Cricetulus griseus: one gene and its partners. The protein of the gene in region 3 binds, or shares a complex with, the protein of the main gene of each other region. Links are inferred from orthologs where the notes say so. Each region holds a gene or a part of one and is shown on either strand. Other genes may lie near its edges. The genes, in order: Pex19, Pex5 and Pex14.

Evidence for each region.
Region 1: the proteins of Pex14 (region 3) and Pex19 are in contact, whole or in part, in an NMR structure (PDB 2W85), measured with the Homo sapiens proteins. The link is inferred for Cricetulus griseus from reciprocal best matches to the Homo sapiens genes PEX14 and PEX19. Residues at the interface, in NP_004556.1 of Homo sapiens: Leu28, Thr31, Ala32, Lys34, Phe35, Asn38, Ser39, Arg40, Val41, Ser44, Thr48, Phe52, Lys56, Leu58; in NP_002848.1 of Homo sapiens: Gln67, Phe70, Phe71, Leu74, Phe75, Ser77.
Region 2: the proteins of Pex14 (region 3) and Pex5 are in contact, whole or in part, in an NMR structure (PDB 4BXU), measured with the Homo sapiens proteins. The link is inferred for Cricetulus griseus from reciprocal best matches to the Homo sapiens genes PEX14 and PEX5. Residues at the interface, in NP_004556.1 of Homo sapiens: Thr31, Phe35, Asn38, Arg40, Val41, Ser44, Pro45, Thr48, Arg49, Phe52, Lys55, Lys56; in NP_001124497.1 of Homo sapiens: Glu59, Leu62, Val63, Glu65, Phe66, Leu67, Gln70.

What each region holds. Positions count from the first base shown.
Region 1 is NC_048598.1:20,717,816-20,722,480, reverse strand, and holds the end of Pex19 (peroxisomal biogenesis factor 19), read left to right. Parts: intron 1-387; coding exon 388-473; intron 474-673; coding exon 674-835; intron 836-2,110; coding exon 2,111-2,287; intron 2,288-2,513; coding exon 2,514-2,558; intron 2,559-2,720; coding exon 2,721-2,804; 3' UTR 2,805-3,816; downstream 3,817-4,665. UniProt on the Homo sapiens protein: Necessary for early peroxisomal biogenesis. Acts both as a cytosolic chaperone and as an import receptor for peroxisomal membrane proteins (PMPs).
Region 2 is NC_048601.1:21,899,229-21,903,893, reverse strand, and holds the start of Pex5 (peroxisomal targeting signal 1 receptor), read right to left. Parts: upstream 2,901-4,665; coding exon 2,754-2,900; intron 2,482-2,753; coding exon 2,446-2,481; intron 2,098-2,445; coding exon 1,965-2,097; intron 1,798-1,964; coding exon 1,666-1,797; intron 1-1,665.
Region 3 is NC_048595.1:7,299,970-7,304,634, forward strand, and holds the start of Pex14 (peroxisomal membrane protein PEX14), read left to right. Parts: upstream 1-2,204; 5' UTR 2,205-2,312; coding exon 2,313-2,348; intron 2,349-3,047; exon of another isoform or gene 3,048-3,405; intron 3,406-4,665. UniProt on the Homo sapiens protein: Component of the PEX13-PEX14 docking complex, a translocon channel that specifically mediates the import of peroxisomal cargo proteins bound to PEX5 receptor.

The DNA of each region.
Region 1 (4,665 bases), on a different chromosome or scaffold from region 3:
TACTCAGGAGACAGAGGCAGGTGGATCTCTGAGTTTGAGATCAGCCTGGTCTACAAGAGCTAGTTCCAGGTCAGGCACCAAAGCTACACAGAGAAACCCTGTCTCAACCCCCCTCCCCCCCCCAAAGTAAATAAATAAATAAATAAGATTATCCCAAACTAGCCCTTTGAAAAGACAGTGTTGTGAGTGTTACTGTGCAGAACAATTAGCACATAATCTATATAGATTTATGGCATGACCATGAAGGTGACCAAAAAGAATAGGTAAGATTTTGATGTATTAGTAGTTTGCTAGTAAATGCTTTATATCCAAGCTGGTAAGTAGGTCAGTCTAGACAAGCTGACAATTAAACTCCTAGGTAATCCTGGTTCTTTTCATTTCTCCTAGGCAGTGATGCAAACTCTCAACAAGAATTTACTTCTTGCCTAAAGGAGACATTAAGTGGGCTAGCCAAAAATGCCACTGACCTTCAGGTAAAGGGAAGGAATAGGGGTCCACTCCCAGATGCTTCCTGAGCAGTCTCACAAAGTAGATGCTCTAGGGTATCTCCTCAAATCTGACCCTGCCTTGATTTTTGTTACAGGCACATCTAGATAGTTCTTTGAACCTAAAAGAGTGGTAAGCATTCCAGGAAGGCAGTGTAACCTGTTGGCCTCTCTTTTGTCTTGTCTAGAACTCAGGCATGTCTGAAGAGGAACTGACCAAAGCCATGGAAGGGCTGGGCATGGATGACGGGGACGGGGATGGGAACATCCTCCCCATCATGCAGAGCATCATGCAGAACCTCCTGTCTAAGGATGTACTGTACCCGTCCCTGAAGGAGATCACGGAAAAGGTGTGTGAGTTTCCACTTCTGCCTTTTCTCCTCACTTCATTATGTCAACCGTGGGCCACTCTGCTCAGACAATGCATAGTAAAAGGGCAATTTGAGTGTACAAGTGCATTCTTTTAAACTCCTCTTTGTCGGAAGTAGAAGAAGTTATTGAGGGAATAAAGGTACATAGGTGATCTGATCATTTTTCCCCACTGGGAGTGTCTGAGCTAGAAGGGGTAATTTCTTCACTTTAGTTTTCTCTAAATTAGTTCAAGACTCTGAGTTTGACTGATCCATTCCTTCTTCTTGTCTTTCTTTCTTTCTTTCTTTCTTTCTTTCTTTCTTTCTTTCCTTCCTTCCTTTTTTTCTCCTCAAGACAGGGTTTCTCTGTCCTGGCTGTCTTGTATGTACACCAGGCTGGGCTCAAACTCAGTGAGATCCACCTGCCTCTGCCTCCAAAGTGCTGGGAATTAAAGGCCTGGACCCTTCTTGTATTTCTTAACTTTGTTAATTTCTCCAGTAAGGATTCACAGGATTTTGTGGTGTTGTTATGAACAATTTGAGAATAGTTTAAATGATGGTCCCTGCTTGAAAAAGCTTATAGTTTCACTAGAGAAATAGAAGCCCTTCAGCATCACAGGGCAACATGTGACTGAGTAGGAAATGAGTAGCAATACCAGGAGTCTGCAGACCAGTGTTTGTATAGCCTAAGTCCAACTCTCAAGCTAAGAGCAGTTTTTATATTGTTTTAAAAAGATTTATTTTTATTTCTATTTTTTAATTAGGGGAGTGTGTGTGTGTTTGTGTGTATGTGGAAGGGCATAGCCCACTGTGGGTGGTACCATCTCTAGGCAGGTGGGCTTAGGCTATAGCAAGAAAGCTAAAAAAAAAAAAAAAACAAGCAAAACAGTCAGCGAGTAGGCAGTATTCCTCCGTGGTCTCTGCTTGAGTTCCTGCCCTCTGTGATGGACTGTTACCTGGAAGTATCAGATGAAATAAATCTGTTCCTCCCTAAGTTGTTTTTGATGTTTTGTTGCAGCAACAGGAATAAAACTAGTACAATCATCAGAGTCTAAAATGATTATTTTCTTGCTTTTCGCAGACATAGTTTACTAATCTGCAGTAAATACCAGTGTGCCCAGAGGATTTGTTGGTGTCAACAGTACTTAGTCCTTTTCACGATGAACTCGCCTGTTTAGCCTTTCTTTCCTCTTTGTTCTCTTCTCTTTACTTTTTAAGTCCCCTTCTCTCCTTGTTCACTGAATTCTTTCCCACCCGTTCCCTCTCTTCCCTTAGTATCCAGAGTGGCTGCAGAGTCACCAGGAGTCTATCCCTCCAGAACAGTTTGAGAAGTACCAGGAGCAGCACAGCGTCATGGGCAAAATATGTGAGCAGTTTGAGGCAGAGACGCCCACAGACAGCGAGGCTACTCACAGGGCTCGTTTTGAGGCGGTGCTAGATCTCATGCAGCAGGTAAAGACCTCCTTACGGTGCTTTCCTACTGGTCCTGTCCACTTGGGTGTTGACTGGAGGAGACGTCTGGAAAGGGTGCTACACAGCCTAGGTGGAGGGAACACAGAAAGGCTACATACCATGGTCAGGAGAAACCAGATCACTAATCAGATTCCTTTTGTTGCTTTTTGTGTTGTTTTCTGTGATTTTTATTCTTTTTTGATTGCATGTTCTTTTTATTTTCTAGTTACAGGACTTGGGGCATCCTCCAAAAGAGCTGGCCGGGGAGATGGTGAGCATGCTTTCTATATTTTAACCCAGTTCCCAGTTTGCAGACTCCAGTAATCCGTAGTTAATCCATATAAGGTGACCATTGTAGCTGCTAGGCATGGACCTTCAGAAGCTCTGACCTGAAATATGAGTGGGTTTCTCCGTCCCTTTATCTCTTCTCCAGCCTCCTGGCCTCAACTTTGACCTGGATACCCTCAATCTATCGGGCCCACCAGGTGCCAATGGCGAGCAGTGTCTGATCATGTGAAACACAACACGTTTTCCTCCCTGAGTCCCAGACCTGGGGAACATCTGGAGTCAGCAGAACTATTGGGAACTGAGGCAGGAATGTCGTCTCTGGGAGCTGGCTGCCCCACACTCTCCATCCCATTCAAGACTGTGCCCTGCCAGCTGCGGATCTGCTGAATCTGCTCTGTAGGCCATTTCTGTGAGCCTTACTCCATCATGTGTTCTGCTGTTAGAAACAGGCCAGCTCATTGCCCCGTAAAGGAAGACATCACTTCTTCCCACTCCCAAAAATAATGGTCTATATGGCTGTACTCATGTTCCCCTTTATTCCCAGGGACTTCGTGCCTTGTTTCTACTCCCTCTCTTGGATCTGGGGAGCAGGAGCTGAGTCCTAAGACTTTGTGTTTGTTTCTATTAGGCAGGGCTTCTGGGAATGAGGAGAAAATGTAGCTTACCCTGGGGCTGTAGGTTTGTCACCACATCTCCTTGCCTTCATTTCGAGCTCTCTGAAGGGAAAGGAATTTTGCACTTAACCTGTGGTCAGGTTGGAAGAGAAGCCCTGGGCTTTTCCTGTCCCTAGGTGCTGCCCACTTAATTCCCCTTTCTTCCTGAGAACTCAAGTTGCTACCTACCTTGGTTCTTTCAACAGCTCTGGTTTGGGTGAACCCAGCTCTTGACCTTCCTTGGCCCCTTGACTGTCCTCTTACCTCCTCTCGTTTTAGATTCTTATTTTACTCCAGCCCCTCTGAACCACTGTGACTGATGAAGGCCAATCTTGTTCCCTTTCATCTACTCCTGTGTCATTCTCTTCCCTTCCCTTCCCTAGACCCTTCCCTTCCCTGGCCAACACGTAATTGTAGTGTCAGAGCTGGTAAATGAGTGGCCATGCTACCCAGATACATTCTGGCTTACTTGAGACATCAGATTCCCTAGAATCCTTGGTTCAGGAAGATGCTTGGGAATGGGGTGCAGCCTGAGTCTTTTTTCCTGCAAGCCCCAGGGGACAGTATCTAATAAATACTCTGAGCGCATGTGTGGGTTATTTTTCATCCAGGTCTGTTTCTGATCTTCCTGAGCTTCTATAAGCTGCAGAGTAGGAAGTGTTAGGAGATAGTTCTGTGTAATGTTATGCTAGTTTCTACCATGACCCTGCCCTCCAGCTTAGCTTGACATTATAATTGATGTTAATGATATTTTGTTAACATGTTTTCTAAATTACCTAGGTTTAAATTGACCTTCTCAGTAGGTCTAAGGACCATGATTGCCATATATTTTATGGATATTCATTTTAGTCCACCTAGCTGTCTAGTTCACTTGGAAAAATAACTTAAAATATATAACATTAATTTATTCTTTGGGAATTTTATACATGTATACAATGTATTTTGATCATAATCACCCCCTGGAAAATAACGTTTGCAAGAACAAATTCACATTTATCTTTTTTGTTTGTTTGTTTGTTTGTTTGTTTTGTTTTTTTGAGACAGGGTTTCTCTGTATAACAGCATTGGCTGTCTTGGAACTGCTCTATAGACCAGGCTGGCCTCGAACTCACAGAGATCTGCCTGCCTGTGCCTCCCCAGTGCCAGCCAGTATTAAAGGTGCACACTACCACCGCCAGCCACATTTATCATTTGAGTCACTTTGAGCACATATGCATGCACGAATGCGTACACACACACACACACACACACACACACACACACACACACACACACACACTGTTAAAATCACTCTTAAAGGTCCCACACATTCTATCACATCCTATGGAAGGAAATGTACTTGAGCTCAGGCTGTGGGGACTGTCCTGCTACCACAGCTCATCAAACAGAAGACTCAGACTCGGGGTCTGAATTTGAGACTCCTCCATGCTCTGAGAA
Region 2 (4,665 bases), on a different chromosome or scaffold from region 3:
CCTGCATGAGGTCAAGTCAAGATCAGGTGACATCTGAGAGACAGCATTAACTGGACTCAGTGGGTTATTAATATATAAAAAGAGGAAAGGACATGAAAGGAAGCAGGACACATTTGGGGTATCTAGAGGGAGTAGAAGGAGGAGGCAGAGTTTCTTCCAGGGAGTACATGTATAAAAATGCCTAAGAATAAATAAAAGCTATTCTATTAAAAAAAGAAAAACAAAAAACCTAGCTGGGCGGTGGTAGCACACACTTTTACACACCTTTAATACCATCACTTTGGAGGCAGAGGCAGGCAGATCTCTGTGAGTTCGAGGCCAACCTGGTCTACAGAGTGAGTTCCAGGACAACCAGGACTGATACACAGAGAAATCCTGCCTGGGGAAAAAAAAAAACAAACCAAAAAGCAAAAACAAAAACCAAATCACTTACAATATTGTTACCTTAAACAAGTTACTTTATCTCAAAAAACTCAGTATTCTTATCTGTAAAGTGGTTATAAAAACAGTAGCTAGAACTTGGGTTCTCATGGAGTTTAAACAAACAACAAATTCAATGCACTTAACACAGAGCTCAGAACACAGTAAGTACACAGAAGCTAATTATTATTTTATTATTGCAGATGACCTTTACCCGAAAAAGACCATTCATTCCTCAATAACCATAATAGAATGGTTCCTGGAACGCAAAACACTACAGATTCCAGTCTCTTATATGAAAGGATCTATTTGCATATAACCCACACATCCTCCTGTTATTTTAACATCTCTAGATGACTTTTAATACCCAATATATAATATAAATGCCATGTACACAGTAATTACATGAATTAGGAAATAATGCCTACACACACACACACACACACACACACACACACACACACACACACACAGCCAGGCACAGTGGTTCACACCTGGAACCCCAGCCCTCAAGAGGTTGAGGTAGGAAGGCCTCTTACATAGGGATTTGGAGGACAGCCTGGTCTACAAGAGGCCCTGTCTAAAACTCAAAAATCATGTATACTTTTAGTATAGACATAAGGGTTCACCAAACATTCTCCATCCACAATTTGTTCGATCTACAGATAAGAAACCTACAGATACAGAGATGGCCTAGCTTCTGAACCCCACAATCCTACTTTCCAGACCCCAATTCTACTCAAGATGGCTGAATGCCAGACTCCCAGGTGCTACAGTGATGATTTCTCTCTTCCTGGGCCATCCATCCCATCTCTAGCTCCTCTCTACTAGGCTAAAGCAGTCTCCTCTTTCTCACTCTCCTCCCCCTCTCTTTTTTTCTTCATTCATACCCATACAAAAGAAAACAAAGAAAGAGCCAGGTGGTGGTGGCACATGCCTTTAATCCCATCACTTTGGAGGCAGAGGCAGGTGGATCTCTGTGAGTTCAAGGCCAGCCTGGTCTCCAGAGTGAGTTCCAGGACAGGCTCCAAAGCCACAGAAAAACTTTGTCTCAAAAGCAAAACAAAACAAACCCAGTTTTCTTGTATGTTTTGATTCCCTATGATGACTACAAGAAGTCACATCTAAAGCCCTACAGAAATGAATCAACAAGTTAGAAAAGCCATTACAGCTAAAAGTCACCTTACACCCTAAGTGGAATTAGTACTTCAGTACTAATAGTACAGATTTTCCCACAAGCCTCACCTGTGACTTCAGCGATGAATTCTTGGGACCAGTCAGTCTCATTATAATCCTGAGCTACATCCACAGCATCTCCAGCCGCAAGAAACTCCTGGGCCCAATTCTCAGACAAGGCCAAGTCTGCTACACCAGGGGCTGAAAAGAGACAAGAGAAGATAAGTAAAGGAAACAAGCACCCATCACTCCTAGATGCCACCTCCTTTGTCTCCCCACTCTGCTGACACCAGCAAAATCAAAGGATAGGAGCCCTCTGGCCTCTGTGCACAGAAAACACTGGTCTTCTCACCAGACCCTCAACCCACCTCTCTGAGGAGCCTGGCGAAAGTTTGACTGTTCAATCTCCTGCATCTCTGCCAAGAGGTCATCCATCTTGAAGGTCTGAGGGGCACGGGATACAAGGGGTGCATTCTGGTCCTGCAGGAATTCTGCCACCAACTATTGCAGAGAGATGGTGAGATGAACCATTAGGCTGAGGGGACCTCAGAAAGGGGCAGGGCCGACTGGATGGGGATACTGATGTCAGACAGAAAGAAAACAGACACTGGAGACAATAAAGAAAAGAAAAAAAAGAAAAAAACCTATCTGTAAATCTGGAAACCAAAAAGAGTAGAAGAAAACACTGACACACAAATCTCATTTGGTGAAGAGAGTTCAAAGTGAAGTATGAGTGGACTGTTTAAAGGTTTTAAAGAAAAAATCACGGACCAAAAGAGACAGAGAGAGACAGGGAAACAGAGACAGAGACAGAGACAGACAGAGAGACAAGAAACTTGTCTTATTTACCTCATCTTCAGAACCTACTCCCAAAGGCTTGGAAACCTAAGGAAGGAAGAAAAGAGGCAATATTCCAGACTACCCCACCACCACCACCACACACCAACTCTAACTACTGCTTAGGTGACCTGAGTGAGGCAAGTGAAAAGCCTTCACAAAGCCTCGGCTTCTTTGTCTATAAAACAGTTGTCCTCTGTGTCAAGATGCACGGTGCTCACACCATCGCCACTGTGTGCTAACTGCTATTACTTGTAACAACAGAGAAAGCAGCTACTGGGCTGACCGACAAACGGGCTCTCGTGCCCTAGAACACTCACCGTCTCTGCAGCTGAGGCTCCCGGGGGCCAGGGGCCAGGCCTCAGTCCCTCCTGCCGAAGGGCCTTGTCCTGGGTGAAGTGAGTGGCCAGCTTCATGAGCGGGTTGGCACCCCCACATTCGCCCTCCACCAGCTCCCTCATTGCCATGGTGACCACCAGCTCCCTGATGGACAGAAGGTTAGAACTGTGCTCCCAGAGCCAGACTTTCACAGCGCACGCTCCCGGAGCCCCGATCTCGAGCAGGTGGGCCCACCACTGTCCCACGCGGGCCAGCAGGCCTCCGGGGCCAGGCGTCCTGCCGCGCGGGCTACCCCCTGGCTGTGTCCGGAGCCCCACGGGGAGTCTCTTATCATCCGGCCTCCCCACTCCAAGCCGCGGCTTTGGGCTGGGGTCCTCCCGCAGCTGTCACCGCTGCAGCTGGGACACCACCCGCCAAACAGCAGCCCGACAAACGGGCCTGGACCCCCGGGGAGCGCGGGTACCGCGTCAGCAACCCGACGAGACGGGGACTCGGACCGGACCGGGGAGAGCGGGAACGCCGCCGGCCGTACACCGGGACCCGCCACTCCAAGTCCGGGGTGAGCGGCGGGACCGGAGCCCGGCCCGCGCGCGTCCCCCGAGCCCCTCCCCCGCCGTGCGGGTCCCGGCCCAGCGCCCGCGGCCCCCAGTCCGCCGCCCCGACCCGGCCCGACCCGGCCGCGCCCCCGCTCCCGCCCCGCAAGGCCACCGCAGCAGCAGCGGAGACTCGCGGCCCCGAGCCGCGCCCCCTAGGCTCCCAAGCTCACCGCCGCGGGCCGCACCGTAGGACCCGCCGCGGCACCCGGGGGGCTGGGGGGAGGGGAGGGGGGGGAGCCAGGGGCGGGCTCGGCCTTAAAGGGACCGCCGCGCTGCGGCCCAGCTCAACGGAAGCTGGGGAGGGGGCGGGGCCTGGAGCTGCGCGGCGTGAGGGGCGGAGCCGGGAGCCTTAAAGGGGAAGTCCTGGCCGGGCGGTCTTGGCGAGCTCTCCAGGAGTCCCCAGAACGCCGGGGTTGGTTTTGTGGGAAATTCAGAGGCATGAAGGAGCTAGGAGAGGCTTCCCGTGCTTTGGAGGAAAACCGAGGTTGCAGGATCCAAGGCTCGGTCAGCTCTTTTCCCTGAGTCTTCTCTTTCTCTAAATCGCCCAAGCAGAACCTGGGAGATTTCGTGGGGTCAAATCTGTGACCCCCCACCCCCACCCGCACCCCGCCCCTTCCAACGTCACAGCCTTCAAGGAGACGGAGGCTGGCCCCCAATTCCTCTCCCATGCCTAGGTAGTGAGGAAAATAGCGCCGGATGATGACAAATGCTGGTGACTAAAATAGGGTCCTACGCATTCTGAGACCTCAAACCGGTAATGGATGGGGACGGGGCAGTGAGTCACTCCTCTCTCCTTCCAACGTCACTACTGGTCAAGGTCATGGTGGCCTGATTCCCTCAGCTCCAAGCTGGGAAAACGTGGCAAGAAATACCTTTGATCGGAGGACTAGGAACCTAAGCCTCAGGCTCCACCATCTGCCAAACCTCAAGGTCACTGGGAAACAAACCTTGATGTCTCACCCAGGTACAAGACCCAGGCGCCGTGGGGAAGAGGAGGGGTTCAGAGTGCGGGTAGATGGGCTCGGGTGAGATTAGTGCTTACAGGCCTGACAGTCCCAACCCGGAATGCTGGAGCGAAAGCAGTCAGTCAGCAGGTGGCGCCCTGGGGCAGGCTTGATCTTTGCAGCAAAGGTAGCCTTACTTGAGGAATACAGGCTGTGTAAATCCATCCCTAGGAAGATAGAAATTGCCCTTACAGCTAGAGTGGTTGAACAAGGCAGAATATTGTGCAGGTTTTTTTTTCTTTAGTACACTGTCGATATCTTTCAGACGCCCTAACCTCTATTTTCGAATTGAC
Region 3 (4,665 bases):
GAGCTGGGGTGGTTGAATAAAGCTCCTGGTTAAAAACAGCTCTCGGCCAGGCTCATAGGGTGTAAAGCTCAGCTCTCATAGACTGGAGAGGGGTGGAGCCAGTGCCAGTGTGGTCAGAAAAGGCTAGAGACATACAGTAAAGATAGGTCCAGATGGAAAAACACCCCTCCAAACAGGTTACAGTGTGTTTAAAAATGTGTGCATGCTTAAGAAAAAAGAAAGAAAGAAAATGTGTATAGACAGTCATAGAAAAAGTATAGAGTTTATAAATAATAGTCTTTAGAGAGAGTGTAAAATAATAGAAGAAAAAAGCCACATAAAGATGGGAAATACACAGGGAGTCTGGATCCTGCATGGTGTTGTGTTGGCTTAAACGTTTTGCATGATGATGAGCTAACAATACCTGCTAAGAGAGACGTTGGATTGTAAAAGTGACTGCTGAATTAACCCAGCCTAGAAACTTTGGGAATGCCTTAAGTTTAAACTGTAATTCAGAAAATGTGTTGAATTGGGGAAGACGTTATGTTTTGTTTGCACAGGAAATGAAAGGCTGTGGATTCCTTCAAGAGATTCCTTCAACAGCTCTGAGACTGGACAACAAAAGTTACAACTGGTTTTCCCAGGACTTGATCATTATCTCAATATTCTCAGGGTACCCTAAAGATGCCATCACCCTCAGACAACAAGAAGCAGATTAGAGAACATGACACCCATATTCCCAAGAGGATGGAGTGGGTGGTTTTTGGTTATTTGGTGGATTATGAATGTTTGTCATCATTTAGTGGGGTTACAGGAATATAGGATAAAAAGACAACTATTAACCTCAAATGTTTTACATCAGTATGGATTTTGGTATATTGATACAATTTTAAAGTTATTTTTGTTATGCTGTATATATGTTTCTACTCTTGTGTAAGGTATTGTACCCATGCAATTCATTTAAAAGTGTAAGATAACGTTCTAGTCCTTGAAAGCTATTATTGTAAACAATTTAGGATAATTAAGAAATGCAGGTTAGCAGTCATCTATAACAATCAAACTTGTAGTTATGTTAGGTATGCTTTCAAGGTCATACAGAGAATATATTTTAGATGGTCTTCAAACACTTCAAAGACCTTCAGGGTATGGCATTTAAAATGTTTTGTTAACATAGGGATTTTCATGACAATAAGACACAGCTGCTCCTGGCAGCACAAATCTACATAATAAAGTAAGATGGACATTGAAGAACCATCATATGGAGTTTGCTTTCAATATGGCAAAGCCAGCCATTTGGGCAAGAAACTGCCCTTGCCTTGACTGCTGACAGTATGATTTAGAAACTGGACATGCAGGACACAAAGGAAAGTGACTGCTGAACTTGCCCAAACAAGGCAGGACAGTCCTTCGAGATTCCCACAGAAAAGTCTGGCAGATATTCTGCTGGACACACAGGAAAGTCATTGCTGAACTTTGCCAAAATAAGGCAGGACAGTCCTTCAAAATTCCTGCTTCAGGGACTGGAGAGATGGCTCAGAGGTTAAAGAGCACTGACTGCTCTTCCAGAGGTCCTGAGTTCAATTCCCAGCAACCACATGGTGGCTCACAACCATCTGTAGTGAGACCTGGTGCCCTCTTCTTGTCTGCAGAGACACATGCAGACAGAACACTGTACACATAATAAATAAATACATCTTTAAAAAAGAAGAAGAAGAAGAAGAAGAAGAAGAAGAAGAAGAAGAAGAAGAAGAAGAAGAAGAAAAACAAACTCCTGCTCCATAGAAAAGTCTGCCAGAGCCGGGCATTGGTGGTGCATTGGTGGTGCATGCCTTTAATCCCAGCACTCGGGCGGCAGAGGCAGGCGGATCTCTGTGAGTTCGAGACCAGCCTGGTCTCCAGAGCGAGTGCCAGGAAAACCAGAGCTACGCAGAGAAAGCCTGTCTCGAAAACAAAACAAAACAACAAACAAAACACAGAGAGAGACGGACAGTATTAGCTCCGTTTATTGCTATACCCGTGAGAAACAGCAGGCCCTCCGTGAATAGTGCTGTCCCGAATGGCTAGAAGTCAATTTCCACGTTCACGTGTTTAGCGACCGCACAGCCCCTGGCTGTGACCTGGGCCCCTGAGAACGTGGGCGTGGCGCACACCTGAGAGCTCGGCTCCGGAGGGAGGCGGGAGCGCCGAGGCCAGGCTCGACCTCCCAGCCGCCGGGGCCCCGCCCCCATCGACAGGCTCCGGGCCTTCTACTCTGGTCTTGCCTGGAGAGCGAGAGCGAGCGCTCTTGGGAGGAACTTGGGCCCGCGGCGGTCGATTAGTCAGGCCTCAGGAAGATGGCGTCCTCGGAGCAGGCAGAGCAGCCGAGCCAGGTGAGGGGAGCGGGGCGCCGCGGCCGGGGGTCGGGGTCGGGGTCGGGTCGGGGCCGGGGCGGCGCTGGCTCGCTCGCTCGCTCTCGCTCTGTCGCTCCGTCGCTCGGCGGGCGCGCGGCTGGCTGGCAGCGGCGTGGCGACCCCGGGCCCTTGAAGCCCGGGGCCCCCCGACTGGGTCCCTGCTCCGGGCCCCGCCCCTCTCCGGGTCCTCCCGCCCGGCCCCTGCCCCGGGGACCCCTCTGTCCCCACCGCCGCCCCCAGCAGCCCGCGGGCCGGGGCCGGGGGCCGGGGAGCGGCGGGCTCGGCTCGTTGGTGCCCGCTGTGCCCCGCGGGGAGGGCCCGAGGACTCCCGCCCTCCGCCGCAGCCCCCTAATCGGGGGCCAGCATCCCGAATTGAGCCCCCTAACTTAACAGACGCGGGCGAGCTGCCGGCCGCGGAGCCGACCCTCGCGCCTCTGGGCTTGGGCGTCCTGGCCAGGGACTCCCCTCAGAGCGCTTCGCCTGCAGGCTTACAACCGAATCCCGCCTCGGTGACCGGCCAGTGCTGGTGCTTGGGCTTCTGCCGTGGGGAAGTAGTGATGGTGAGGCCTCCGGGTGGGGTTTACAACCCCGAGGAGGAGGAGTGGGGCGCGCCGAGATGCCAGCCAAGAGACAGCCCTTTGGGGGCTTGTATGCTGCCGTGCACAAGACAAGCCGCGCTTACTTTTAGGTTGTGTTTATTTTTGGTGTATGTGTGCCAGCCACGGCGCTGATGGAAGCCAGGGGACAACTTTGCAGGAGTCGTTTCTCTCCTTCCACCTCGTGGATCGCCGAGATGGAACTCAGGTCCCCGGGCTTGGCAGCAAACGCCTTTACCTGCTGAGCCATCTCTTTGGGCCACTGAGTGGTGTCGCTTATCTAACTCTTGCCTGTACCCTTTGTAAAGTGCAGAAGTGGGTAGCGAGGTTTTGCAACCTGTCCTCAATCACGTGCGTCGCTGAGCCTAGATTTCAACCCACACTGTGTCTGAGTGACGCCGCTAGTTGGCCGTCTATGTTTAAACTTCATTAGGATAGACCTAGGAAGAAGAAAAAAAATGAGCCTAGGGATCTCATTCATCTCTCACCTCCTTGAAGCACCTTAGTTTCCAGCTACTTGCCAATATTTCATTTCCTTCCTAGGCAGGGAACTACACTTACTGTCTTCCTGCTCATGACAAGTCAATTAGAGGAATCACACTTAGAGGAGGTAGACACTTAGATCGGCCTCTGTTGGTGGTATGGGTAATGTGTGTGCTGTAAGACAGCACCAACAATTAGGGATGATTCTGGCCTTCTCACTGTCCAGGGTTCTGAAAGAGGGATCCCCCTTTCTTGCCTTATCCCACCGAGTTGGCTTAGCTGCCCCAGTGCCGTGGTGCCTGAGTTTTCCAGAACTTTAGGAATGGGACTGAAATGTGTCCACAGTTTCTGATTTCTCCAGGACACCTCCAGTTTTATGGAGGGTACTAAAAGTCTTGGAGATCACCCTCTTTGTACATGTGGAAGGGGGCTAAAGTCTCTCTTTTGGTTTTTCGAGACAGGGTTTCTCTGTGTAACAGCCCTGGCTGTTCTGGAACTCGATTTGTAAGACCAAGCTGGCCTCGAGGGGTCTAAGGTCTTTAAGGGTTTGGCCAGCACTTGTTTGGCTTCAGCTCTGCCTCTCCTTTGTCCTCCTTTCCAAAGCTGATAGGGATGGGATTGCGTCAGAGTGTGCTGGCAGCCTGGGAGAAAGTTGAACTCATTTGGTCATGTTCTGTCACTAACAATACACGGCAAATAAATAACACATTTAAAAAATATATCCACCCCAGGCATTGGTGGCACACACCTTTAATCCCAGCACTCCAGAGGCAGAGGCAGAGGCAGAGGCAGAGGCAGAGGCAGAGGCAGAGGCAGAGGCAGAGCAGAGAGGCAGAGGCAGAGGCAGAGGGCAGAGGCAGAGGCAGGCAGATCTCTGTGAGTTCAAGGCCAGTGTGATCTACAAAGAGAGTTCCAGCACAGCCCAGGCTGTTACACAGATAAACCTGTCTTGAAAAAACCATATGTGTGTGTGTGTGTGTGTGTGTGTGTGTGTGTGTCTGTGTCTGTATCTGTGTCTGTGTCTGTCTGTCTGTCTCACTGAATAGCCCAGGCGGGATCTTCCTGCCTCAGCTTCCCCAGTGCAGAGATTGTAGGTATGTGCCACTGTTATAGGATAAGTACACATATGTGTTCCTTGTTTATCCATTTTTGAGACAGCAGTTCATGTAAACCAATAGTCTTGAGCTTTACATAGCTGAGGATGACCTTGAACTTCT